Linked DNA regions of Canis lupus familiaris. The protein of the gene in region 1 purifies or fractionates together with the protein of each later gene. This does not show direct contact. Links are inferred from orthologs where the notes say so. Each region holds a gene or a part of one and is shown in the gene's direction. Other genes may lie near its edges.

Region 1 (6,593 bases):
CAAGAGATCCCTATAAATTAGTTGTTCATGGAGGTGAGTTCCTGCCAGAAGCTCATGGAAAATCACTTCATTTCACTCTGGTTTCTGTTTCAGGGACCCATGGTGTCCTTAAGACACCCTGTAGCCAGCGGTTACATTCTAAACAAACATCTAGCAGGGGTATGAAAAAAGGGGTAACCACTGCAGGCACTCAGGACCTGTGGCTTGCCTCTTGGCTCAAGAGGCTTGGTCTCTCCCATTCAGTACTGCCCTTGACCTGCTGTGTTTCAGTTCGAAGAGTTTCCAGATTTCTTTCCTATCCTGGCCAATGTTCAGTTTCACCTCATGAGGAAAGTAACAGGAGAGGGGACAGTGTGGGGAAAAAAACAAGTCAAAAAATATTAAAGATGATTTGAATTAAACATTACTTTACCAGCAGGTTTGCAGATGTCTTGTTCCAAGGGGGCTATTGGCAACTAGTTTATATTATCCCTGAAGTGAGCTTCTCCTCATAGCAAGACGGTTATCCTTAGAAGGCAGCTTTGTAAGAAATCAGACTTGATCAATGGGAAGTCAACCAATTGATCACTTATTCTATGTTGTTGCACTTTACACCCCAGGAATCAGTGTGTGTGTGTGTGTGTGTGTGTGTGTGTGTGTGTGTGTGTGTTTATCATCCCACCCACAGAACAGCCCCACAGGAAGGACACTTGACTCACTTTACACATGAGGACACTGAGTCGAAAAGTTTGGTATCCTACCAGAGGTCCTATAAATTGGTCTAGATCCCCTTGAAAGACAGCATTTCTAGGGCAAAGAGCAAGGAAGCAAAAGCCCAGATTCCAGAATATTTAGAAGGCTCAATTGAGGGAGAATGTTGTCACCGGTGTGACTTGAAGCAACAGGTGACACTGGTAAGTAGGAAAATAAAGTTAGAAAAGCATGTGTCAAATCGCTGAGCCTTTACCTTCATGGAGTCAAATTCCTGGGGATCCAAGCTCAGGTACTAAGAGATGCAACCTTGTCTGAGGCTTCCCTTTAGAAATAACTGCTCCTTTCTGCTGTTGCTCAGCTGTTCGTGAGGGAACCTGAAAAGAGGCTGGGAGTGAGGGGAGACATCCGCCAGCATCCTTTGTTTCGGGAGATCAACTGGGAAGAGCTTGAAAGAAAGGAGATTGACCCACCATTCCGGCCTAAAGTGGTAAGGACCCACCCAGGACCTTTGGCTCCCCACCATTCCCGCCTTGCTCCACTCACCCCCAAGGCTGCCTGCCTGCTTCCCCTCACCCCTGTGTGGGCCCCAGCTTCCCTCCTGGATTCAGTTCTTGGAGGAAGGTGCTTCCTTAACCATAATTCAGGTTGTTTGGCTGGTGGGGGGTTGGGGAGCAAGGGGATGTTACTCTTGTTTGCAGTATCTAACCTCTGCAACGAAAATGTACCTGCATGAAAAGGAGCTGTTGGGCGTACGTGCCTCAGACTTAACACGCACGTGCCAGGTGACTCTCAGATGAGATAAGGAGTTTGTCTGATGTTTGTAATTCATTCACATACCTGTATCTCCTAATGGTGATTGTTACATGTTCTTTGGTTTAAGAAGTAAATTGGAGCTTAAGAAAAGACAGGTCTCTAAACTCCCATGTGTACGCTCACTAGCAAAAGTCACTAACCTCACTGAGAAAAAGTGACTTGACCACTTGCAGAACAAGCCGCCATAAAGTGAAGACAAAAATAAAACACAGTTAAGATGAGAAAGTTCTGCAGATGGATGTTGATAACAATGCATGCGCTTAATGCCACCGAACTGTACTCCTAAAAATGGTTCAAATGGTCACTTTTATGTTAGGTATATTTTAGTACAATTTTTACATGAAGTTATTTTTTAAAAGAGTAAACCAAAGGGGTGTGTTTGCCATCTTTACCCATTCCTGGTGATTCCTGGGAAAAAAAGAAGTAATGACCCAGATAGATATAAACCATCTCGACTATCTCTTTGCATAGAGATGACATCTCTATGTCTGTTCCATGGGTGAGATGTTCCATGGGTGGGATGACATGCTCCACTCTAGAAAAGAGCTACTCCCATTCATCAGGATAGCGGTTGACCAGAGGAGGCAACTGTGTTCTCAGGGTTAGCAAAGTTAGTCTCAACATTTGACCCAAGCTCTGGGGATGCTCTAAGGGTTCTACAGGCTGGCCTATAGCACTCTTGTTATTTTTAATAGCGTCATACCTAAACTATGAGTTAATAATTTGTGATAAAATGAATTTTTACCTTGTTTTAGCTCATCAGAACAATATAATTCATGTCTCAACTTCCATGGTACATTACAATCAACTTGATATTATCCACCTAAAAATCAGACTTTTGATCTACACTTTCCCTAGAGGACAATTCTCGATTCTACCAGTAGGAAGGAATTTCCCTCATGTGTTGTCTAAACAGCTATTTGTAGGCAGAGGCCACAGGCTATTGGTCTCACCAGCCAGGAGCCCTCTTGAGGATAGGAAGAGCCTGACTCTTAGTTACTCATATATACACAAAGGTGACTTTTGATAATCTAAAAAAATTGAACCATACACCATACAAAGCAGTATTTATAAATAGGTGTTCGTTTTTACATTCTTTCTTTTTCTTTTCTCATGAGCACCAATGGACCAGGTGGCTTAAGGGGAGCTAGTCCCAATCTGTCTATAGAAGAAGTCCAAAATGGTTAATAATGAAATTAATATGGGTAGAGGACTAAAAATAGTGAAGGATATTGATATAAGAACAGGAGTATATAATCTGCAAAAGTCCTGACTTCTGCTCCGACCCTCTTCCCCTTCCCCAAACTGTCCCCTGAACACCAAAAGGCTACAGGTCAAATCTGGGCTCACCACTGTTTCAAAGGTTGTCAATCCTGTTTCATGTAAACTATTGACCAGAAGCATGAGATACTATTTGATGTATATAATGAAATTCCTTGACATGAATTTAATTGTACCATTGCTAAGGGCACAGCTCAGGATCTTAGAAATGTTCCATAAATCCTATGACCATCTATAAATATTATTTCAGTTTACCTGGAATGCCCACATGGTCATACACAGATTGAACCCAGATAACAAAAATGAAGATAAATAATTCAATGCCTGATTTTCTTCCCTTTTTCCCTCCACCCTTCCCTTAAACTCGGATGAAGAAATCACCGTATGACTGCAGCAATTTCGACAAAGAATTCTTAAATGAGAAACCCCGGCTGTCATTTGCTGACAGAGCCCTGATCAACAGCATGGACCAGAACATGTTCAGAAACTTTTCCTTCATTAACCCAGGGATGGAGAAGTTGATATCCTGAAGCACATCCCCTGACACACAAGGGAATTTGTCTTGTGTCTGTGAACTGGTTCCAGTGACGCTCCTTGGATTCCTTTTCACCTTGGGAAAGAAAAGAAACACTCAATAATACAGGCTGAGACCTTTTAGCTCCTCACTGACTTTGCATCTACAGCAGAAGCCAACTCCTCCACTAATAACTACACCCTTCGGTGCTTCTCTGTCCTCTCCTGTGGCCACTCTTGAAGCGAGGTCATTACTAACCATAGTTACTTACTGGCACAATGGTTCTCTGCAATGTGAAAAGACCTGAAAAGTTAATACTGCCCGAAATCATGGCTCTTCACATGGGCATCAACAGCTGATGAGTGGCCGAAGGCAGAGTGAGCACAGACGTCTCAAGACTGAAACAGCGCCTCACCCTCTGCAGGAGTGGACTTCATTCAGCCACAGACAAGTAACCACTAACCTGTTTTGTTCTGTTTGCATCTGTGGAAGCGTAAATGGTGGTGGGGGAAGCCCTGAATAGGTTTTTATGGGAATTCTTCACAATAAACATAGCTTGTAACTCGAGATTTACAGATCCATTCATTCTGATTAGGCATGAGATTCTCGGGAAAGAGGAAAATGGAAAGTAAAGAAGAGCTCATGTCACTGAGATGGAGGGTTTAATAAAACACCTACTCTGGCTATCTTGTCAACATAGACAGTAGAGTCCAACAAAGATAGAATCACTTACTCCTGCCAATAGAACCACCCCATCCACCCATTCTCAGTTGATTTCAGTATCAGTGGAAGTCACTCATTACCATACTCTTCACACTGTAACAAAAAAAAGGAAGTGCATAATCCTTACAACAGAAAAGCAAAGCAATCTCTTATACCCTTAAAGTTGATTTGATGACTCATTTGTCTCCCTTTAGGCATTATTCAAGATAAAAGACCTATGCATGCTACTTGTAGCAGTTGATCTTGTTTAACTAGAATTTTAGCTATACATTTTTAAGTATCTGTGCTATTTGTATATTTTGATAAAATATTGTGACTTAATGACAGAGGTGGAGATATGTAAAAATGGAATAAAAGAAAGAAAGAAAGAAAGATGCCTCCTAATAGTTTTATTCCCTACTTGCCCCTAAGAACTTGGGTTTTTTTTTGTGGTTATCATCAAAATGTAGCTAGCATGGAGTTTATGTTGTAAATTTTGGGAATCCCTAAAAATCCCCAAATAGGTGAGAAACTCAGGTAACTTCTAAATTACTGTTACTATGTTCCTCTTTCCCTTCACCATGAGATATCTCTGGAGTGGTCTACACATTGTCTCTACTCCTCCAACATCTGAATCCAGCTCTGTCCTCCTACATGTCCCCAGGCACTGCTTCCTCCCAGGACTACCTTCCTGGAATGCACTAGGTCCTCACCTACCTTTCTGCAGTTTTTTTTTTTTTTAATATGAGGAAAGATCCTCCCTTCAATCTCAGCCCCGTTAGACACTGTGACACAGCACTTTCCCTTGTTCTCCCTCCACCTTTGACTGCCCCCTTGACCAGCCCCTTTCCTCCTACCTCAAATCACTTCCAAGGCCCCATTCCTCATCTTGGTTTCACCTTCCTTTGGTTCTTTCCTGCCACATCATACCTCATACCTTCATCACCCAGCGCATATCATCTCAAGTCCACATCTCCAGTTCTAACTTTGCTTCCAGCTTTCAAACAGTCTCTGCTGACTTGCTCTATTTTCTTATAATCTCTATCTCTATTGTGTTTCCTAACTCTGTTAATGGTACCACTCTAGGTCCAGTCATCTAGGCTCAGAACCTCAGAGTCATTGTTCACTGTCCCCTCTCCTTAATTTTTAACCAAATCCTTATGATTCTGCTTTTGTAGTGTGTCCAAAAAAACATACTCATCTCTACATTCTCTTCTGCTAGTCATGCCTGGATCAATATCCCCCATCTTAAGCCTTTCTCCCCATTTTAATTCATGCATACAACATACGTTATAGGGTAGGAATAACTTTTTATCTACCCTCCTCCATTAATAACCTGGGCCTGCTGATTAAACTGACAAAAGACATCAGCAAGAGAAGCCTACTTTTACTTACACATGCTACATGCATATATATAGGATTGCCCAGTGATGAGTATTTCAAAGGAGTGGTTTGGGGAATTTGGGACTTAAGTTCCTAGTTTAGCAGGAGAAAGGAGGGTGGGGGCAGAGAAAAGCCTCCTATGGGAAGGACAAATAAGTTTCTTTAAGTAGTGTAAATGGGGTTTCAGGAGAACAAATAGGAAATAAGAAAGTTTGTGATAATGTTTGTCTATACAGGTATGAGTGCTCTTTCCATCTTCCTTAGGGCCATAACATTCCCCCAGAAAGGGGATTTATGATAAGTAGGTTTACTCTTGGTCTCATGCCTACCAATAGACCCACTCTGAAGAAGGAATTTTTAGGAGTCCTCATTTCTCTGAAATTTCTGTTCTTAGATAAGGAAAGCTCCCAGAAGGCCTCTTTCTGCATCTGTTGAATCCCAAGTGTCTTAGCTTAAGATAATCTTTATTATTTATGAAAATATCTTCACAAATCAAAGTTTTTAATCCCATCACACTCATTTTCAAAACTCTGTGTCATCTTCACTGCCTAAAACCCATGTAAGACCACCCATTCTGTCCCCAACCTCTCTACCCGACTTCCCATTTCCACCTTTCACTCACCTGTGCTCTAGTCAATCTGAATTTCTTAGCGCCACCTAAACTCCCACCACTTCCCACCTCTGGGACTCCCTGATATTAGTTTTTCTGTCTAGAATGTCCCATTTCTACACATTCAACATCTGTCTCTCAAGATCCAATTCAGTTGACACATCTGCCATAAAGTATCTCTGCCCTGGGGTATCCCATGAGCTTATGTATCTCTGACCTTTCTAAGCTCCCATCAGATTCAGAAAGGGAGACAGAACATAAAGACTCCTAACTCTGGGAAATGAACTAGCGGTGGTGGAAGGGGAGGTGGGCGGGTGGTGGGGGTGAATGAGTGACGGGCACTGAGGGGGGCACTTGACGGGATGAGCACTGGGTGTTATTCTGTATGTTGGCAAATTGAACACCAATAAAAAATAAATTTATTATTAAAAAAAAAGATTGTATTTCTCTGTCCTCTCATGGCACTCTATCAAGCTATGAGAGTGTGTGGTTTGCCTCCCTTTCTAGGCTGTAAACCCCTAAGGGTAGGAACTCAGTCCGGTTTGTTTTTATGCTTCCACAGCTCCTTTGTACAGTTGGCCCTTGAACAATATGGGA
Region 2 (7,019 bases), on another chromosome or scaffold:
ACGGGCTTCCGACCTTTTCTCCCTAACTGGCAGCCCGTGCAGTGGTGAGTGAGGGACGGGGGGCCTGTGGGTGGGGCGAGGAGCACCTCCTGAAGGGAGGACTGTGTCCCCCTGTCTTTGTCACATCCTTTACCTGTTCCCACCTCACCGGGCACTTCCAGCCTGGGCCCGAGGCATCGGTCATCTGTCTCCCATAGAGGATGTCATGTTAGGACCCAGCACATGGGCAGTCCAGACTCAAAAATCCTGGAAAAGTAGAGCAATTGTTAAAGTGTTAACATCTTTAAAAGTAATGCCTTATAAATATTTGCCCTGTATTCAGTAGCAACATGCCAGTACATTTACAGACTGCTTTATACAACAGTGTACTTATACTGAAGATGCTGTGTATTAGTAAATAAATAAAGGACATGTATGCAAGACAAATGATAAGTATTTTCGTGGAAGTGTATTATTGACAAATTTTACCATTCCTAAATATAAATTTTTGTTTTAAAAGCATAAGAGGGATCCCTGGGTGGCACAGCGGTTTGGCGCCTGCCTTTGGCCCGGGGCGTGATCCTGGAGACCCGGGATCGAATCCCACGTCGGGCTCCCGGTGCATGGAGCCTGCTTCTCCCTCTGCCTGTGTCTCTGCCTCTCTGTCTCTCTCTGTGTGACTATCATGAATAAATAAATAAAATCTTTTTAAAAAAATAAAAAAATAAAAAATAAAAGCATAAGAAAGTGGCTTAAAATTTGAACCAATTTGCACACAAGAAAGTTACCAGAAAAAAGATTTATAAATAAAAAACTGAAGGATATACTTTTTAAAAAATTATATCTTTGCCTTTTTTTTAATTACAAAAATAAGTGTATAAGTGTTCATTGTATATGTGAAGGTAAATCATTACCAAAATGTGTAGTTTGAAAACTAACATTCCCCTAAATTAGGTTTCATTCAGAGTATTGAGAGGCCACACACTAATTTAAATGATGCAACTGTTATTCCAATTTTTTTTTTTTTAAAGATTTTATTTATTCATGATAGACATAGAGAGAGAGGGGCGGGGGCAGAGACACAGGCAGAGGGAGAAGCAGGCTCCATGCCGGGAGCCTGACGCGGGACTCGATCCCGGGACTCCAGAACCACGCCCTGGACCAAAGGCAGACGCTAAACCACCGACCCACCCAGGGATCCCCCAAATTTTGTTTTTATTTCCAGTTTTTGTTTTGTATTGTTTTGTTTTAGAGCAGTAATAAGTTCATATGGTTCAAGCTTCCAAAAGTGATAAAAGAGTATGCACTGAAAAGTCCCCTCTGGGCAGCCTCCCCACCACCTGGCTTCCTTCCCCATAGGTACCTGCTACTACTGGTTTTTGGTGTGCTTCCAAGGGTGTTTCATATGGGTACAAGAAAATTGGTCTGTACTTGTCTGTTGGTTCGTTTGTGTTTCACCTCTTTTTTACATCAATGATTAACATAATATGAACTGTCCTGCATGTGCTCACAAAACATTTTTACACCATGAGAATTTCTTTCACACAATCCAGAAAGAACCACTATGAACATTTTTGTGTGTCTCCAGGCTCTTCAGTATATGTTATACTTTTTACAAAAACACAAATTATTATACTCTCCTGTAACCTGCTTCTCAGTCTTGCTATTGAAAATCCTTTATGTTTTTCCATTATTTGTCATATCTGGTATGCAACTGAATGGCTATACTGAAATTTATTTAATTTATGCCCCGTTATTGGAAGCATAGGTGGTTTAGAATTTTTACTTCTTAAAATAACACCAAGAATAATGTTCTTATAGGGAAATCTTTATGGATCCATAATTATTTCCCTAGGACAATTCCTAGAAGTGGAATTAACTGATCAAAAATTATGTGCATCGTAAAGGTTTTTGATGTGTATTAAAATGCTCAACAGAAAGGTTGTATGAATAATGTTTTGACCAGGAACATACAAAGCTGCCTCTTTTACCATACCATTGCCAGCACTGGCTATTATATTTTTCTAAATATCTTTTTGGAAGTAATGAAAACAGTAACTTTTTCAAAGGACAGGTACTTAACTTACATCATTAATTATTTACTTATAAGATTTAGCCTTGGAAATCAACTCTAGAAGAGTGGTTTTTGTGATGGCAGTCCAGTTCAGTCAACATGTATAATGCAAAGAGAAATAAGGCCAGGTGACTGCTTTTCTGGAGTCTGGCAAAATGGCAAAGTATGCCCTCCTGTGGTGGTTTATTTTAAAACAAGCAGTACTTGAGCTGCGTAAGTTCTAGAATATTAAGGAATTGGCTCATTAATTTATAGTCACACCTTATTCTATAACCATCATAAAAATAACTTAAATATCTGTACATCAATATTTTTAACTAATCAAAGAATTGCTGCTTTTCTTCAGTTCAAATGTTGAGCTTTTTCATTATTTTTAACAAGATGAGTTAAAATCCATTCAAACTGGAAGAACAAGTGCTATTTGAAAATATATCCCTAATGTCCCAGCATCTGTATGGTAAGTCTGTTGTCTGCAGAATCAGCTTTTTAGAACTCCACTCCAGTGCTGGAAGGCCAGGTGACACTTCAGGCAGACTTGGACACCCAGTCAGGAGCTGTTTAGTGGACTAGTTTGTGAGAATTATCTGTCTCATTTGTCTTGTAATGCCTTAGACAACTTTTTAAAAATTTCACTCTCTCGTCTCAGATGGCAAGTGGATAGTAATTTCAGGACAGAGGCAGTTTGAGCTTCATAATTCTGTTGTAATGCTACTTTGAAATACTTTTCAGGACCTAACCAATAAACATTTATTTACTATGTCCTTTTATGTTTATAATTTTCCATTGATGGACTAATGACAAGCTTGCCCCTGCCTTACAGTAATCATAGTACCAGCCAGAGCTGTAAGCCGGTGGCCACTGCCATGTGCCAGTGCCTGTAGGCTTCCCACATGCTCCAGACAGGCCAGCTGACCCCTTGCCTATGAGAAGTGTTCAGGACTAAAGTATTTTTTTATTTGAATTTCCCAGGTGTTTTTGGGAAGGAAAGACTTGTACATTCAGACAGAGTAGAAAGAATGGTAGACTTTGGGTTTGAGTCCAGATCTGCCATTCTGTAGTTATAAGACCTTGGGCAAGTCAACCGATCTTCATGTCCTTACCACTGAATGGGGGACTAAAAACAGGGCCTACCACATGGGATTATTGTGGCAAAGAAGCCTGTGTTCGGTGTTGAAGTACTTGGTTATCTATGAAGCATAATTCAAATTTAAGGCATTTTCCTCATCACTGAAAAGCTTTGAAACTAGTTGCGTTTAACATTTTTTCCCCTTCAAATACTATTTCCGGTGCATCGGTGCATCAGTAAGTTCTCTAAATTGGGAAATGTGAATTCATTCACCACTAGAGTTAACATTTAGTCACCTACATTTAGAGGGAAGTGTGTTGCGTGTGCATGTGTTGCGCGTATATCCTATAAACGTGATACGTGTGCAGTGATCCTGGTTTGGAAGTTCTAATTGTATCCTCTGTCAAAACATGAATTTTGGGATCCCTGGGTGGCGCAGCGGTTTGGCGCCTGCCTTTGGCCCAGGGTGTGATCCTGGAGACCCGGGATCGAATCCCATGTCGGGCTCCCGGTGCATGGAGCCTGCTTCTCTCTCTGCCTGTGTCTCTGCCTCTCTCTCTCTCTCTCTCTCTCTCTGTGTGACTATCATGAATAAATAAATAAAATCTTTAAAAAAAAAAAAACATGAATTTTGTATTAGATAAAATGAAAAGTGGAGAAAATTATAAAGACAAGCTAAGGATGAGATTAGAAGTTGGCAGTACTGGCTGTGGTACTCTGGGCACAGGAGGGTTGATGCCTCCACTCCTTCAGGCGGTACAGACTGTTTTTCAGCTCTCAAAGAAATCATCCCAGCCAGATGCAGATGCATTGACTGCTACCCAAAGATAAAATTGCAACCCGGGGGTATCCTGTACAGTTGTAAAGTGATATGTTACAGATGTAAAGTACCTCTTGCCCAAGTGACTTGGGGGCTATAATCAAGGAGATGACATGTTTGCAGGCATTCCAAAGTCCGGCAGAAGAGTGAGATGGACATTGTCGTCAGTGAGGACTTGAATGGAGCGGTGAAGTTTTCAAGCTCCTTACCCTATCCCAATAATCTGAACAGGTAAGGCACAGTGGCACATATCCTCTACGTAGTTTTCTTCCTTTTTTAGAAATAGGTGTCTGCAGTAACATCGGAAAGCTTTTCAAGAGGTTATCAGGATAGCATCCTGTGACTTAAGGACTTGAGATGATCATCTCAGTCATAAACTTAGAATGGATTCCCACTCTTCACCCCATCTAGAAATGATCTCTTTTCTAAATTCACATAACAATTTATCTGTACCTCTTACCACCTTTAGTAGCTTCTAGTTTGTATTACATTTGGTTTTGCATAGGGTTTGTCTTCTAGTCAACCGTAAGCCTTTTCAGATTGTGTTTTTCTTCTCTTTGCACTCCTGTGTAGCCTCATACTGTGTCATAGTCAACAAATCTTTGTAGTTTGCACAGCATTGCAAACTAGTCTTAGAGCCAGAATGTGAACACTTAGATAGTAATATCAACATTGTATAGTAGTACAAAAGAAAGTGGCAAGGCAGTCACACACAGCCGAGTGGTGCAGATAATAATTACCATGAGTATTTAGAGGATGGGGAGAGCGGTAGCGTGTGGACTAGAACTGGAACGACTTTGGATGAGCTGGAACTTTCTGGAAAGATGTGCAGGACATGGATAGATGAAGAGGAAGGAAGGCTGAGGGGGAAGGAGTGAGGGGAGCAAAGGCATGTTCCAGGGGCAGTGCAAAGAGAGTTGGCCTTCGTGGGGGCTGAGAGTGCCTACATGAGGCAGACCTGTGCCCGGGAAGGAGTGTGAACTTTGTTGTGGGAACCATGAGTGGGTTTTGCGCTGCAGGGGTTCAGGAGGGAGGACATGGGATGGGTGTGGATTAAAATAAACCTGGCAGAATGGGGTCTAGCTTGGGGCAGGGGGCTCACCTGGAGGTAGGACACACCTGCGGCATATGAAGAGCTTCACATTTCACTCTCCTGCAGCCAGGTGATCATTGGTCTGTTGACCTATCTGTTGAGAAATCTGGGATTTCAGGGGGTATTTTAGCAGATCAGGTAAAAGGATAAGCACTCAAATCATTAGTCTGGCTGGAAATGTTCGCTTTCTCTCAGGGGGAAATTCATTTTCAATAATCATACTGGTTGCCACGGGTGTATGTGTAGCGGTGAGTGTGTGTGAGGTGCGTACCTTCCAGTTTTGTGTGGGAGGCCGCCTGAGGGCAGTGCAGTGGTCTCCTCCCACACCGTGCCCTCGTTCTTCTCAGCATCCTGGCACAGCGACTGGAGAAGTGGCTGCAGCTCATGTTGATGTGGCACCCACGGCAAAGGGGCACCGACCCTGTGTACGGGCCCAATGGTTGCTTCAAGGCCCTGGATGACATCTTAAACCTAAAGGTAAGTGCGGAGCTAGGTCAGCCCCGAGGCAGCAGTCAGGCCCCTGAGGGGCTGTGGCCAGGCTCAGGAGAAAGAAGAGCGCCTTATGAAGCAGGTCATGGGCCATCTGAGCCGTGGAGAGGGGGCTCCTATGAGTGCCTATCCCTGTGCTAACTGACTTCAGTTGTAAGGTCATAGCTGTGGACAAGCAGGAGTATTAAAGACCAGAACATAGGAACCCTCGTTCCTTTGCTCCCACTGGGACTCCTTTCCCCCAGCTAGCCTTGCCCCTTTCTTTGTGGGGCTGGAAAATGTTGCGAGCAGTAGACGACACAGGCAAAGAGTTGGGCTTCTCTGTAAAGATGGGTTTTTTTCCAATAACATCTGGGTTGTGTTGCAGCTGGTTCATATCTTGAACATGGTCACAGGCATCATTCACACCTATCCAGTGACTGAGGACGAGAGCCTGCAGAACTTGAAGGCCCGAATCCAGCATGACACAGGAATCCCCGAGAAGGACCAGGAGCTGCTGCAGGAAGCTGGGCTGGCACTGATCCCTGACAAGCCCGCCGCTCAGTGCATTTCAGACGGCAAGGTCAGCCCCTGCTCCTTACAGAATGCCTGGTGTTTAACTCTGACTTTGCCCCCAGGCTCTTCAGATTTCAGCTCTACTCTGTTGCATGGTACAGGTACCTCTCTGTTTTTTTTAGTTGGAATGTGAGATCCCCTGCATCGATCTAATACCTAATGGGATACACGAATCCTTCTACGGTTGACTTGTTACTTTCAGACCACTTAGATGCCTTTCTGTTGTTGCCTTCATTGCCAAAGCAATGCTTTGCTCCTCCGAGTCAGCCAGAGCTGTTTCCAGTGTACCTTTGCGTACAGAACCATGTGGACAGCTACAGCTATGCACCACCTGGTCCCTGTCCCAAGGAACCGATGAAGTTAACTTATGAGAACCAAGCATTGGTTAGGAAGGGAGATAGTGAACATCTGCATTGCACAGTAAAAATAATAGAGAATAGATAAAAAAGCTATTACTACTAGCAAGTAGTAAATAAGACACACATTTGGATGATAAGTATAAAGGGAACACAAAGGGACATCTAGGCTGGAGTCATTGAAAAAGGCTTCCTGGACATTCAGTACCTGCTGGCTGAAGATGATGCCATCGGCGAACAGCAGGAAGCGCTCTGAAATCCCTGTGTTATTACTTGAAAAAGGCAGGAGTGGGACCCACAAGATTTCTTCTTGTTCTTGTCCCTTTGCAGCTGAATGAGGGCCGCACACTGGATATGGACCTTGTCTTTCTCTTTGACAACAGTAAAATCGCCTATGAGACTCAGATCTCCCCACGGCCCCAACCTGAAAGTGTCAGCTGTATTCGTAAGAACATCATTGGTTTTGTTTTGTTTTGTTTTGTTTTGTTTTGTTTTGATTAATCACTTGGGATGCCTGGGTGGCTCAGTCAGTTGGGTGTATGCCTCCAACTCAGGTAATGATCCCAAGGTTCTAGGATCGAGCCTCA
Region 3 (6,828 bases), on another chromosome or scaffold:
CCTATGAAGAAGGGAGTCCCTAAACAAGCTTGAGAGGCTAACTCAATTAGCCTTGCTGTCTCTGGTATTAGAGGGATTGTGGGTGTGGATACTGACACTTTGTGGTTGTAGGGGTTAGAAGATGGGGGTCTCCCTTATAGCCTCCCATCCTGAAGTAAGAAGTGGGGTTAACTGTTAACAGAAGGCGTGGGTGATAAGGTTAATGGAAGAGATGATGACTGCATAGATTTAAGGAGTATGCTAAAGATTTTTAAAAGCTGGTATGTACACGGGCTCAGTGGTTGAGCATCTGCCTTGAGATCTTTTATAGATCACTCCTGTAGCGACAGTATGGATAGCTCAGGTTGTGGTCCTGGGGTCCTGGGATTGAGTCCTCCATTGGGCTCCCCACAGGGAGCCTGCTTCTCCCTCTGCTTATGTCTCTGCCTCTCTGTCTCTCATGAATAAATGAACAAAATCTTAAAAAACAAAACAAAACTGGTGTGTACAGTGGAAGATGTTGCTGACCCAGAAGATTTATTAAGAATCCAGAGCAGAAATGAAAACTTGTGAATTAGCAGTGACAACAGAGAATGGTAGTATTTTTTTTGGTGTTTAGTGGCTTGGCTGCAGGAACTGACAAAGCAGAAGGTTAGACTGATTCAGACTTAAGATTTTGCTCATAGAAGACAAAAAAAATCAAGATATTGACAGAAAGTGATATAAGTGATATGAAGCTGTGGTTAGAATAATTGAAATTTAAAATTTCAATAGAGCAAGTCTAATTCTTTTTTTCTAGTGTCTTTCTAGCTTAGAGTTGACTTGAGACTCTTGTTAAGCTAAAAATGGTGAAAAACTTTCTTCATTTTGTATGCTGGAGAAGATTAATGTTCTGAGGTCTCTGAGAGGAGCTTATTTGCAACTCTTTATCTAGTTGTGAGGGAGAGACAGAGGGACATGTGTAGGGAATAAACTTGAGCTGTGGGGGAGAGGTCTTTGCAGTGATAACAAAGGACACTGAACTTTTTAAAAACGTTTTTTGATACCTTTTCATAGTAAAATATGGGTAATAGTTGTAGCCATCTCCCAGGACTCCTATGAGGGTTAAATGAGAAAAGTGTTAAGTAGGTGATAGCAAATAATATTTTTGCAGCTGAGACTAAAAATTGTTCGAGGAAATACCAGCATTATCTATGAGCAGTCTTCCAGTTTAAAAAACTTTAAATGCCATTTTTTGAAATGTAACAGTGCTTTTGTTTTTTTGTTTTTTTGTTTTTTTTTTTTTTTTTTTTTTTTGAGAGGGGAAGAGTATAAGCAGAGCAGAGGGAGAGGGAGGGAGAGAATCTTAAGCAGACTCCACAGTCAGTGCAAAGCCTGATGTGGAGCTCCATCTCATGACCCTGAGATCATGACCTGAGCCAAAATCAAGTCAGACATTTAGTCAACTGAGCCACCCAGGCACCCTGTTTTTGCTGTTTTTTTAATTGAGTTACATCTCCTGTAGACTGTAGAACTCACTCATCACTCACTGTGTCCACACAGCCATCCTATTTGAGGACATTTGGCAGTTTCCAGTTTAAGATGTTCTACTACCCTCAGACTGAACTTTCAGGGTGTGTATAGGTCCTTTTATTAGTGCATCAGGTTTGGCTTAAGTTAGTCAGCTTTTTTCAAAGTTTCATGGGCTGCAAACAGATGGATAAACATGAAATCCCAAGTATCCTAGATAGGTCAAGGGCCTCCTGCTTTTAAACCAGTGAAAGTTTGATAAATTGTCCTACTGTTTCTAAATAAATGATGTTAATCATCCAAGAAAAATTGATCTTTTGGCCAGAAAGCTGCATATGGATTTAGGATTTGGGTTAATATGGGTTAAAGATAGCTAAACATATCCTTCTCAAAACAGGCAACTAAGTTCTGTGAAGATAACAGTGATAAATTTATATATGCATTAAACACACACACTTTGTTTTTAGATATATATTTGTTTATACATTATATAATCTTAAAATTTTAATCCAGTTTTAAATTTAAATGGAGATGCTTATTAATTAAAACTAGTTTCAGATTTTTAGGAATTTTTTGTTTGGAGGCTGATATGTTCATGCAGAAAAGAGGTTATACCCACTGACTGAGATCTTTTATAGATCACTCCTATAGCGACAGCACGGAAATGGTGAAGATCATTGTGCATACTGTTCAGAGTCAGGACCGGGTTCTCAAGGAGCTGTTTGGTCATCTGAGGTAGAAAAATTGTTTTATTTCCTACTGAAAAGCCAGGGTACTTTTATCATGTTCCTTTCAAAGTGTAATATCCTTTTTTTGTAAATATACTAGACCCAGGAAGATATCTGGCAATACCTTGGGTAACTTGGCCACAGTTGTGTGCGTTTAGGTGTCCTATTTTGTGTGCATCACTTTGGAAATCAGTCACTAAATCTGGTGCTGATTGTGGTTCATTTTCCCAGTTGGGTGTGGGAGTATGGTATATAGTCTTAGGGTTATGTCTAATTGTGTGACACTGATTTCATCTCTCCAGCAAGTTATTGGGCTGTAAGCAGAAGATTATTGATCTACTGCCCAAGGTGGAAATGGCCCTCAGTAACATCAAAGAAGCTGACAATACTGTCATGTTTATGCAGGGAAAGAGACAGAAAGAAATATGGCATCTCCTTAAAATTGCCTGTGTAAGTAACTTTTAATAAATTATTTAATGTGACATTGATTTGCTAGTATTCTTTGCAAAAGGGATTCTTCTTTCGGCATGAGCTGAATCCTTTTTAAAGATGTCTGTATTTTGTGTTAAGGTTGATGCTCATGTTCTTTTCTTGGTGTTTGACTTCAGATGCAGGACATCATGATCATCCTCCATTATTTCTTTCCTCTCTGGTCTCATGTTTATCTATTCCTTCCAGCCGTAGACCACTGTGGCATCCTATCCCAATTTGGGAATAGATGTGTGTGATCAGTTAATAAAACTCTAGCCCCTTGTTCAACTAGTTTGTTTTTTTTTTTTCTCCAACAAAAGTGGAATGAGAAGGGCAAATACATTTGGTTTTAGTTAAGAAAGGTGGTCAAGGACAGGATAGTTTTGTACAGAAATACTTATAAAAAGGTGAGGATAGTTTTGTGGTTGTGCATCTAAGCACTGGTAGAAGTGTAAATCTTAGGAACATTGTAGGAAATTGTATGCATCAATTGTGGTGCTTGCCTGTAATCTTATTTACTTTTTCCCCCTTCAGACACAGAGTTCTGCCCGGTCCCTCGTAGGATCCAGTCTAGAAGGTGCAGTAACCCCTCAGGCATCAGCATGGCTTCCTCCAAATTCAGCAGAACGTGAACATCCTCTGTCATGCGTGGTAACTCCTCAAGATGGGTGGGTTCACTTTGCAACAATAGATAGTTGTTTTCAAGAGCAGTGGTAGGAATGAGGTAGAGTAGAGCATAGTGGTTAAGAAAAAGTCTTCAGTACTTTATACACCAGGGTTAAATCCTGACTGTCCCTTTTATAATAATGTCCCTTTGTAATAGCCTTGGGCAAATTAACTTGATTCTTTAAATGTTCCCATTTCCTCACCTGTAAAATGGGAACTGTTCTGAAAATTCAATTAGATGTTGTATGTGAAGTGTATGGAAAGTAAATATCAGCAAATGTTACTTATGTAGCTCAATCTAAGTTTTAAGTTCTTTCTCTGTTACTGGCTTAGCAATTCTTTTACCCAAGCTATTTCTTCCATAACCATTTATCTCAAAAGTTATGCTGTCTTTTGGATTTATCATTTTGGGGTCCTTGATCACCTTTCTAATGAATTATTGAGTGTAATCTACTTGATTTTATAACTTGGTATTTCTAAAATCAGGCTTTTTTAAATGCCTTAAATCAGTTTTGCAAATAAGAACTCAAGTGTGAAGCCTTATATTTTCTTTTATTAATTCCTACTCTCCTGCTAAAAGCTGAATGACTATCCATTTCTGTTATTTTTCTCAGCATAAGATGTGCCGTATCCAGAGCCAGTGGCTCTTTGCTAGCTTGTGTATTGTCGCTTTTCTCACAACTCATGGAGACCTCTACAGCAGCACCAGCATTACCTGGAAGCTCTGCCCATAATTAGTTTTGCAGAAGTGCAGCCATGTTACATCACTGCTCAGGAGGTCATGCAGTTGCACATTCTGTACTCTACTTTTATGAGAGAAAAGCACATGGCAGGAAGGAAAGCTGATATCAGGTATTTTATTTTTTTAAAGAAAGCAAGTTGTAGGGTGTATCTTGGGATCGTTAGAGATTTGGCCCAATGTAATACATCCACAGCTACAGCACAGGCTATATAATTGACTTTAGAAAATATTCCATTACTCAGAGTTGAAACAAATAAAATTTAGTACATTACTAACCTTTTTACTTTTGTTAAAGGCATTTAGGTTAGGGGATGCTAATGGTTGCAAATGTCACCTCTATACAGTCCATTTCTAATTTGAGGTTGGGTTGTTAGCAAAAGCATGTCGGACAGGAATTTTAAATGTTTTCCAGTAGGAATACGTTATAAAGTAAAATTGATTTCAATTACAATGTGCACATAATACTTAACCACCAAGGTGGGATCTGTTGGATTCAATTTTTCATCTTTTGAATACGTGCTTTAGAATTAGAATTTAGTTTTGACCTTATAGTGGCTATCATTTATGGCCTAGAACTAATTCTAGTAAGGTAGAGACTGAGGGCTGGTAAAAGGTAAAGGATAGAGGCCAAATGGCAGAGGAAAGTGGGGAAGGTGGAAACCAAAATAAGGATTTTCTTCAAATATAAACTTCCAGAGATTCTTGTTGGTTCTGGGCAGCTACCTTATGATGCTATTTTCTTCTGCTGTCCTCAGAAATCAGCTTGCTTGTTTTCTTTTTCATCGCTGTCATCTGTAGTTTCCAACCAGTTTTCACCTTCCCTTATCTTTGCAGACCAGATTGTACTTCTTTATCTTCACCCTTATATTTGTGTCTCTGGAGTAATAAGCACACTGATATTTTTACTACTTATAAGGAAAGGAAAATATTCCAGAAACAAAAAGATTTTTCATCTGTCTGCACTACAATTTTCTCTCCCACTCCACCCCCCATTAGCATTTTTCAAGAGTGGGGAGGGTAGTTGTATTTAAGTGCTGCTTATATTTCAGAGGAAAATGAGATTGCATTTATAATGGATTTCTTCTCATTCAAGCTGGGCAGAAGCAACAGCTTGCATTAACAAGCAAGACTCTGCCTCTGGGTGGGAGGGATAAGGAAACTGAAGACCATAGGAATCAGCTGCATTGGGGTGCTGGGTTGCAGGGCTGCAGGAGGGGCAGTGATTATCCTGACCCTGAAGACCAGAAGGTAGAGGAAATTTGTATGTCTCTTTGCTGCATTTGAAAAGGCTTTGTTTTTTCATCATACAGGGAGACTATAGTACAAATGATAGAAGAAAATTTGAACTGTCTTGGCCATTTAAGCACTATTATTCATGAAGCAAATGAGGAACAGGGCAGTAGAATGATGGTAAGTTTTATATGGATATGGGTATGTTTTGACTTTCCATGCTAGCCACCTCTGGCATTTGGGATGCATATGGGGAAAAGGAGAACTCAGAAGAAAGAGAAAAGACATTTAAGTTATATCTTTGACCTCAGATCCCAATCTTCTCTTATTCATGGATATACTAGGATTATGTCATTAGTAAATCTTCAGCAGTAGCATTTTGGTCAAATTAAATGAAGGGTGAACTTTTTTTGCAATGTGACCACTGAAATTGAATGGTTTGTACCTTTTTGCTTCAGTAATCAATTTTCTTCAATAAGATGGGGCAGGATTTGTACTGTAACTCAAATATAATAACAGCTGTACGTAAAACAAATAATGTTAACACAGTCAAAATTAATAGAAATATTAAGATTTGGTTACTGTGAATTACTGATTTGTTAAAACTCAGAGAAACCACAAAAAATGTTTATTGAGTTAATTTTACTACAGTTAGTCTCAAGGTCAATTGCTTGTATTTCCTTTCATTATTTACTTCAAATATTTATGAAAACTGAAATATTTTTTCTGAAATATTTTTTTTAATCGGCAGGACAGAAGGTAAAATTAAACTAACTGTAACTTATACTTTGATTTTTCAACTTTTGATTATAAAATGTCCAAACACACAGAAAACTTGCAAAAAGTAACACCCATAAACCTACTGTTTAAAGTCAACATCTAATTATAATTTTTTCCATGCTGGTTTTAGAATCTTGATTGGAGTTGGTTAACAGAATGACTTGCTACTTATTCAGTGTGCCCAAACTGACGGAGATTGTTGCTGCACATGCAGGAAATTTGTTTTTCTCCCATGAAAATACTCTTCAGACACCAACAAATGGAAGAAATGGCTATGATCAGAAAAAATGCAAGATTTTACAAGCACGGTATTTCGACTTTGGGAAATTTTAACCCCTAAACAGAATTTTAACCCGTGAACAGAGAATTTTAAACAAGTCAGTGGACTTGTTTAAATATGATAGCTACTTAAGCATATCATGGCAATCCATTTGTCTTCAAACATGATAAAACACTTAACTGACTAAAAACCATCTTTTACCACTAAATTTTGGGCATAAGGCCAAAAGTATCATCGATATGCAGAAAACAAAACCTCAACTAATGTATGTGTTGTAAGTAAAAGTTGTTTGCCTGTTTTTGTGGGAGAGATTGGTCTCAAGTAAAACTGTATTTCATGAAGAATAAACTCTACCTCCTTTTGTTGCATTCAGAAATGCTCTTCCTGGCAACATAAGGAGTTGACTTAATTTTAATTTTACTGCACATTTGATAATATCCCTT

The links.
Region 2: the proteins of PRKCQ (region 1) and IKBKB purify together in Homo sapiens (affinity purification with western blotting; 4 studies listed by BioGRID). This does not show direct contact. The link is inferred for Canis lupus familiaris from reciprocal best matches to the Homo sapiens genes PRKCQ and IKBKB.
Region 3: the proteins of PRKCQ (region 1) and CHUK purify together in Homo sapiens (affinity purification with western blotting, with the first as the bait; 3 studies listed by BioGRID). This does not show direct contact. The link is inferred for Canis lupus familiaris from reciprocal best matches to the Homo sapiens genes PRKCQ and CHUK.

What each region holds. Positions count from the first base shown.
Region 1 is NC_049223.1:28,535,038-28,541,630, forward strand, and holds the end of PRKCQ (protein kinase C theta type), read left to right. Parts: intron 1-1,051; coding exon 1,052-1,180; intron 1,181-3,161; coding exon 3,162-3,317; 3' UTR 3,318-3,868; downstream 3,869-6,593. UniProt on the Homo sapiens protein: Calcium-independent, phospholipid- and diacylglycerol (DAG)-dependent serine/threonine-protein kinase that mediates non-redundant functions in T-cell receptor (TCR) signaling, including T-cells activation, proliferation, differentiation and survival, by mediating activation of multiple transcription factors such as NF-kappa-B, JUN, NFATC1 and NFATC2.
Region 2 is NC_049237.1:24,105,708-24,112,726, reverse strand, and holds part of IKBKB (inhibitor of nuclear factor kappa-B kinase subunit beta), read left to right. Parts: coding exon 1-44; intron 45-133; exon of another isoform or gene 134-246; intron 247-4,062; coding exon 4,063-4,170; intron 4,171-5,379; coding exon 5,380-5,509; intron 5,510-5,888; coding exon 5,889-6,083; intron 6,084-6,762; coding exon 6,763-6,877; intron 6,878-7,019.
Region 3 is NC_049249.1:13,152,871-13,159,698, reverse strand, and holds part of CHUK (inhibitor of nuclear factor kappa-B kinase subunit alpha), read left to right. Parts: intron 1-2,126; coding exon 2,127-2,223; intron 2,224-2,518; coding exon 2,519-2,666; intron 2,667-2,983; exon of another isoform or gene 2,984-3,221; coding exon 3,222-3,355; exon of another isoform or gene 3,356-5,405; coding exon 5,406-5,505; exon of another isoform or gene 5,506-6,235; coding exon 6,236-6,265; 3' UTR 6,266-6,828.